2 linked regions of the Nothobranchius furzeri genome follow. The protein of the gene in region 1 purifies or fractionates together with the protein of each later gene. This does not show direct contact. Links are inferred from orthologs where the notes say so. Each region holds a gene or a part of one and is shown on either strand. Other genes may lie near its edges. The genes, in order: slc7a14a and golm1.

What was found.
Region 2: the proteins of slc7a14a (region 1) and golm1 purify together in Homo sapiens (co-immunoprecipitation; 3 studies listed by BioGRID and IntAct, with this or other methods). This does not show direct contact. The link is inferred for Nothobranchius furzeri from reciprocal best matches to the Homo sapiens genes SLC7A14 and GOLM1.

What each region holds. Positions count from the first base shown.
Region 1 is NC_091758.1:22,803,671-22,807,496, reverse strand, and holds part of slc7a14a (probable cationic amino acid transporter), read right to left. Parts: intron 3,161-3,826; coding exon 2,943-3,160; intron 2,797-2,942; coding exon 2,650-2,796; intron 1-2,649. UniProt on the Homo sapiens protein: Imports 4-aminobutanoate (GABA) into lysosomes. May act as a GABA sensor that regulates mTORC2-dependent INS signaling and gluconeogenesis. The transport mechanism and substrate selectivity remain to be elucidated.
Region 2 is NC_091757.1:48,315,935-48,320,322, forward strand, and holds the start of golm1 (Golgi membrane protein 1), read left to right. Parts: upstream 1-1,300; 5' UTR 1,301-1,440; intron 1,441-1,514; exon of another isoform or gene 1,515-1,618; intron 1,619-2,448; 5' UTR 2,449-2,461; coding exon 2,462-2,590; intron 2,591-3,943; coding exon 3,944-4,123; intron 4,124-4,388.

The sequences.
Region 1 (3,826 bases):
ATGAAGGTCACATTCTCAACTGGAGAATGGAAGCAGCCGGCCTATGCCCGCAACTAGTAGAAAGTGAGCGCTAGCTTCCTACTTCTGGGGGAGAGGGGTTTCAGATCTGAAAATAGCTTAAGGGGGAGGAGCAGGGCTTGATGATGCACTTAGTTTCCATCAAGGCTTCTGCAGGATTTTCTAAATAAAATTCAAAAGTTGCAGCTGCGACAGGAAAATGCATGAATGTAGGCCAAAACAAGTTTAGGGGTATTTTTCATAAGGAAATAAATGTACCACATGGTAAAAAGGCTCTAAAAAGTGGATTTTCCATGATGTGGCCCCTTTAAAGTTTCCAGTAAAGACATGGATGAGTGAATTTGGTGTGGAGGAACTTGACATTTTTGCCCTTAACGTGTCAAAACACCAGAGCTTTATTACAAAAATGCATTTAATGGTAAAAAATAATAATAATAATAATAATAACAATTCCCATTAAACAGTTTCAGCTCCTCTGAGATTAGTTAACAGGAATTTGTTCATGGGAATTTTGGACCAGAACATACACTGGTGTAGCATGCCCTTTTAATCATCCCCAAAAGACCACCGGTAAGAGTTCGAGTTCAGAACAGAAAGAATTTCAACCCAGGATCAGAAAGATGATCTCACATCGTTCATTCAAGTTACAATGCAACGTCACTAAAAAAGAACATGAGACATTTAATATGCAGAATTATTTCAGTCATGTTATTCATTAAATAAAGGCAGTTGGAAGATCTGAACAGGAGAAGGAATTTTTTACAAAATGCCAACAGGTCAAATCAAAAAGGTTAAGGAAGCCTTGGAGTGAGGGAGAAGCTTGATGGTGGAGGAACAGATGTGGCTGAGAGCAGGGGGGTAGCAAGCTTCTCAAAAGTGTGGCAGATGTTGAGATTTTTCACACACACACACACACACACACACACACACACGTGCGTGTGCGTGCGCACGCTCGCACGTGCGCACATGTAGTTACACGACCTATGTGCATTATCCTGAAATCATTAGAAATACTACCTTAAACGTATTTGGAATGCAATTTTAAAATTAGATTATTTTTTCTCATTCATTTGGCTTTTTTTTTTTTGTTTTTGTTTTTTACTTGTTTTGTATGAAGCTGAAGTTGGTTCCCCGTTTTAGTTTTCAATTCAGAAAGGTCAATTCTCAATCATTTTTTCCACCCCAGTATCTCTAATCTACTGTAATTATGAAATGCAAAATGTTTTATTTCATAGGTGATCAGTCGGAACTCTTGAAATAAATGTTCTTACTCATATTCAACAGTCAGTAATCCATCTTAGACTGAGAAAACTTTGCAGTTGTTCATTCATTAGCTGATTAGAGTGTGACACTTTGAGCCTAGAACATAGAACTTTTTCACATTGTCAGACATTTTAAATGTGAGATTTTCATAAGCTTTAAGCCATAATCATCACAATTATGTCAAATAAAGGCTGGGATATCTGGATTTGCATGGAATGAGTCTATCTTATTGCTTAGTTTCACCTTTTAAGTTCAAATACTGTAATAAATCAACTTTTGCACCATATTTAAACAGTTTCACCTGTAGATGCAAAATTAAAAGTGCTGAGATCTGCTTTCTTTGGGCTTTCACAAAACAAATAAGCATTAAAGTTCAGAAAAACTCTAGTCCAGGTTAGAAGAGTCTAAGTTTTGTAGTTTTAGTATGAGATCAGAGTAAAACTGGTTGGAATAGCTCTTCCTGGCTCTGAAACTAAAACTGGACCAATTTCAGCTTTGTGGTACATCCTGATAACTTTTTGTGATAATTTAATCTTTTGTTCTTCAGTAAGAGAAAGATAATCACAACCTTTGAGATGATGCATATTTAGGGGTAGTGCTCGTAACTTTCACTAAATAATTTGGCTACCCGAGTAACCTACCAAGAGTTGATCTGCTCAAAGATGTTTGAGCTGAAGGAGGCTGTAGTTCTCCTGTGGTTAGAACAGAACGCGCTCAGAGCAAGCTTGTGATGAGCCCATGTGATCTCACTGCTCGGGCAGTGCAGAGCAGCAGGAGAAACGCATGTTAATGATTGACTGGGCTTGAATATTTCACATAACACCGGTGCACAGAAGTGCAGGTTTCAATGGTCAACAGGAGAGAGAGGCGGGAAGGGAAAACACATCAAGAGAAACACGGAAGGACCGAAGTGATAGCAAAGTATTTTGGCTAAACTGCGGGAAAGTGTAAGTGTTTAACCTCCTCACTAGAAAAACATCCCCCACGGGTGTGACGCCCATGGCTGAGTGAAGTTTGAAAGTCGATGCAATTTTTGCCTGAGGCAATGCCTAAAAATCCCTGATTTCTGATTGGTTCCTGTTGTGCAGCACCCACAGCAACAACCAGTCAGTGTACCCTGAAAGCTGTGTGACCTGAATACATGAATATTGTGGATAAATTCAACCTTTTTACATTTACAAACAGTTAAGATGTCTCAAAAATTCAAACACTGTTATCATTTTGTCACGTAGATCAGGTGAAGTTGAAACAAACGATCGATCAAATTAGCTGAGAAACCTGTGTGGGGCCTGCGTGATAGTCTAAAATACTCCAGCAGAAGGATGATTCAGCTACTTGATTAATGTCAGTGGGAGTGAGGAAACTCACAGAAACATAGGCAGTGAGGCAGGTGATGAGTGAGGCGGTGATGGCATAGGGAATGGAGGTGTTGGGACTCTTGGCTTCTTCTCCTGTTGTAGCAATGATGTCAAACCCGATGAAGGCATAGAAACAAGTAGCAGCACCCTGCATCACCTGCAACACACATTCAGTAAAATAATTAATGGTTTGTATAAATAATACAGAAGGATTTTGTGTGTGTGCGTGTGTGCGTGTGTGCGTGTGCGCGTGTGCGTGTGTGTGTGTGTGTGTGTGTGTGTGTGTGGTGTTTGCACACATACTCCTGACCACCCAAAGGGTAAAAATCTTCCCTCATCCCAGTTCTCTCCATTGACAAAGAAGAGTCCAGCGATCATCATGAACACCCACACAATGAGGTTGATGATGTTCAGAGCGTTGTTGAAGCCAATGGAGTTTTTTACTCCTAAAGCCACAATCACTGTCACCAACAAGGCTATTAGCAGGGCCAGTAGGTCAGGATATGACTGTTCTCCTTTACCTAAAGGAGATACACACACAGTTTAGAAATGAAGTCATTTCAATAAACAAGGGAATTCAACAATATAGTCATATTTACTCCGTTGACCCATGAAATGCCCAAACCTGACAGAAAATGTTAAAGTAAACTAGTTTACCATGGGAAACATCATAAATATTTAAGTTACAATAAGAAACAAATTTTATTTAAAAATCTCCTAATTTTCCCGTATTTGTCAAAAAATATAGTGCAGAAAAACTATTTACCGGTAATTGCATTTTTCCCAGGAATGTTTTCTACTTTAGAAAAAGGTATCTTATAAAACTGGAAGATAACATGAGGTTATTATGTAGATGGACACAGGAATTCTCCAACAGGGCCATACAAAGACCTGCCGTGTCTCCACCATAAATGTGTTTAAATGCTGTTAATAGGAACGGCTTTAATTGTAGCCCAACCATAGAACAAATTTTATAATAAATTCATGATGTTTAGCATCACTAAAAATTATTACTACTTCACATGTAACTTTACAAAAGCACCAGCAGTCGAGCTGTGTGTTTGGAAACCAATGAGATGTACTTTCAGCTAAATTCCACCCTTCCCTTGGGTGTGGAGGAAATAATCAACAGCTGGAAACATCAGCTTTCCAGTCGAAGATGGAACAGTGCCATGTGACCACTACAG
Region 2 (4,388 bases), on another chromosome or scaffold:
CCGGCTCTGGTTCCTCCTCGGAATGCGCATAGGTGGGATTGAGGAGCTCCTCAAAGTATTCCTTCCACCATCCGACTATAGCCCCAGTTGATGTCAGCAGCTCCCCATCCCCAGTGTAAACAGTGTGAGCGAGTTGCTGCCTCCCTCTCCTAAGGCGCCGGACAGTTTGCCAGAACCTCTTTGGAGCCGATCGATAGTCTTTCTTCATGGTCTCACCAAACTCCTCCCACGCCCGAGATTTTGTTTCGGCAACTGCCACTGCTGCACCCCGCTTGGCTATCTGGTACCTGTCTGCTGCCTCCGGAGACCCACAGACAAGCCACGCCCTGTAGGCCTCCTTCTTCAGCCTGACGGCTCCCCGAACCTCTGGTGTCCACCAGCAGGTATGGGGGTTGCCACCACGACTGGCACCGGCCACCTTGTGACCACAGCTAGCAACAGCCGCCTCAACAATCGCAGAGTGGAACAAGGCCCACTCGGAGTCAATGTCCCCCACTTCTCTCGGGACGCGGTCAAAGCTCTGCCGGAGGTGGGAGTTTAAGACCGTCTTGACAGGTTCTTCTGCCAGACGTTCCCAACAGACCCTCACTATGCGTTTGGGTCTGCCAGGTCTACGCGGCATCTTCTCCTGCCATCTGATCCAACTCACCACCAGGTGGTGATCAGTTGACAGCACCGCTCCTCTCTTCCCTCGGGTGTCCAAAACATACGGCCGCAGGTCAGATGATACAACTACAAAGTCTATCATCGACCTGCGACCTAGGCTGCCCTGGTACCAAGTGTACGATGGGCATCCTTATGTTCGAACATGGTGTTCGTTATGGCCAAACTGCGGCTTGCACAGAAGTCCAATAACGAAACACCAATCGAGTTCAGATCAGGTGGGCCTTTTCCTCCCAATCACACCCCTCCAGGTCATGCTGTCATTGCCCACGTGATCACTGAAGTCCCCCAGCAGGACAATGGAGTCCCCTGGTGGAGCACTATCTAGCACTCGTCCCAGGGACTCCAAAAAGGGTGAGATAGTATCTCGAATCTCATAATTAAGATATAGCTAAGTCATAATTATGTGACACTATCTCATTTTAATGAGGTAGTGTCTCATTATTATGAGATACTCTCACTATTATGAGACACTTTAAAGTCATGATTATGAAATTACATAGATTTTTTTTATCAGTGTACTATGGACTTCCACACAGCAGCTCGTACAAGGGAAAAAAGTGCTGTTATTCCCTCTGGAACCTCTGAGCGGGGCTAATGTTTTATTTAAAACCAGACACCCACCTAGTCCCCACACCGCTACGTGAACCGGTGTCTGTAAATGGTGCGGACCCACCGACAGTTCAGCCACGGCTGTTGGTGTAGCAGTAATGGGCAGGAGCTAGTTTGCAAGGGCGCTGAAGCGTTTTTATTTCCGTGAGGAACAGAATTTTTTTGGTACTCATCACAGAACTTCGCTCTACATACCTGGCTAAATATTTGCTTTGTTTTGGTTCTGTCATATCTGATAGGTGGATGATTACGCTGCTTGTCTGATGTCAACTCACGCTTTGTTGCTAACGGAAGTTAGCATTAGCGTCTACGGTGGTTACGAGAGAGACGATTCACATTAAGGGTTTATTTTTTGTTTGTTTGGCCGTCAGTGTTTAATCAATGATATAATTAAGGGTTTCGAATTTAGTTGTACATGTAATCGATACTAATTGTGTTGGAACAGTGTTTGTTTTGATCCTTAAAAAACGTGTCTGTTTATGTATTGTTTATGGCAAACTAGCTTAATTTTCCTGTGATTTGATAGTTTTTCACAATTCTCATTGATTGTTATTTTGTTAGTTATATTTGTTCTGGTTTGTCTTTGCTATTTTATCAGAAAAGCATTTGGATTCCACGTTGACTAATCAGCAGGATCTTTATGTGGTGTTTTCTTTATATTTAGATTTGAATGGGGATTTTACCTCCAGCTGTTTGTACTTTAACTGTAGTCATAATCAATATTTAACAGGAAGTATTTCTCAATTTTCATTACTTTGTCCTCTTGTAAATCCCCACTAATGCTAATTTGGTTTTGTGAATATTATTTACACTGGAAGTGGGTTTTTAAAAGTTTTATTAAATCAGTAAATTAATAGGTCTATAAAATGTCCTGCAAAATGTCCTGCTTATCAAACTGGGGCTTCTAGCTACAGAGTTGAATTCCTTTTATGACAAAGACAAGTGCAGAAATATTATCTCTCATTCTCTTTTGACACCAAGAAGTTAATCGGGTTTAATCTGAGACACATACTTCTAATTAGAAGTTCTGAAACTGCTTTTTGTGTCTTAAAATGATTATTTAACAAAAATATTTGTCTCTTGTTAGATGCAAAGTACCAGTTTAAAAAGCCTTTACGGTAACAATCATATGATCTGATTATGACCGTGTTTTGTGTATGTGTGTGTGTCCAGTTTCTAGATCACTATGGGTGGGTTGGGGAACGGCCGTCGTGGAGGACGATCCCCCCCTTTGATGATTGCAGCTCTGGTTGCTTGTATCTTGGTTCTGGGATTTAACTATTGGGTGTCCAGCTCTCGAAACCTGGAGCTACAAGTAGGTTTGGCTTATTTTTTTATAATATAGTTATTATAAATGTATGATTTATATATATATATAATAACTGATATTTTGTATCACACTTTTTTAAGTCTAAGGATTTCTGTAGACTTCAGAGGAACTAAAAGGGCTTCATGTTACACCCATTAGGCCTCATTAGGCTGCTACACTGGTTCCCTCTGATCACCGTCAGCAGGCAAGGAGGGTCAAGTGTCATTCCCAAGAATACAATGTCTGAAATTATGATTAACTTTTAAATTATATATTGAATAAACAAACATCTTGGTCTTAATTAATTTAAAATCCTCATGTTTCTTAGCCTGGCAAGCCATCCTATATATGTGAATATAAAGTCTGGCCACAGACCATTGACGGCTCTTAGACGTGGGGCGGGATCTACGGTTGACTTTCAAACGTGTCTCTGCATGCTATTTGATAACAAACATGTTGTATCCACCTCTACAGATGTCAAAATTAAATTTCAAGGGTGTTATAAACAAACTTTTGCCATATTTGTTTGTTCAATAACATCCCGCCCATCAACAGAAGGCAGTGATTGGCCCACCAAACCAATAGTGCACTGTGATTGGACCACTACAGAGCAGTCGCCATCTTAATTTAGCTCACTCAGGGGGCGCTGGTGCCTACCTCCATCGATCAATGGGCAATCAGGCGGGGTACACCCTGAACAGAGAGCCAGTCCATCGCAGGGCAACACAGAGACACACAGGACAAACGATCTCAAACACACACACACCTAAGGACAATTTGGACAGACCAATCAACCTAACAGTCATGGTTTTGGACTGTGGGAGGAAGCCGGAGTACCCGGAGAGAACCCACGCATGCACAGGGAGAACATGCAAACTCTATGCAGAAAGATCCCAGGCTGGGAAGCAAGGCAACAGTTCTAACCACTGCGCCACCGTGCAGCCCAACTTTTGAACATATCATTTGTTATTTGTAATAAAAACTAGGTTGATGACTCTAGTGCAAACATTACATATGGAAGCACAATGATAGCATAAAGCAAATGTCTGCAAAAAGTCTAAAACCCTTTCCTCTAAATAAACAAGACTTTATTCATATTTCTGCAGTAGGGAACAAACTGAGTGGATAATGTTAATATTCCACACATGCTGCTACTACGGCAATCTGAATCTGAACACATGCAGATAAAATGTGACTACTGTCAAAATGACCACACAGAATTAAGTACAACATATTTTACTAAAGATGCAAAAGCTGCATTTATTAGATACTCGTAAATCAATCCTCCCATGTTTACATTTTATTTCTGTATGAATTCCCACCGTTTTGATCTAATAGGAGCTCCTATGTGTCCCACAGACCAAGCTGTATGAGCTGGAAGGCCAGGTGAGACGTGGAGCAGCTGAGCGAGGAGCTGCAGAGACCAAGAAGGCGGAGTTTCAGGAGGAGATCCAGAAGCAGAAGGAGCAGATCACTCGCATAGAAATCATGTACAAGAGGCAACTAGAAGGAGCACAGGTCACCTGCAGCCAAGAGAAGGTGAACTTTAACACCATTTGGTGTCAAAAAGTTGTTTGTATTTTCATGGAAGCTTTTTGATCACTGTTAGGGTTGGGCATCGAGAATCGAGCATCGATTGGAACCGGTTCCAACTGTTCATTTTTCCCGGAATCGCTCAGTGTTTTTTATTTCGATTCCTAGAATGCCGACGGAAGAGGAATCCGCGGCCGATCTCCGTGGAAACATAAAGGTGATCTGCAAATTGTGATCAACACTTTTCAGAGCTGATCACACCAGCTGTCTG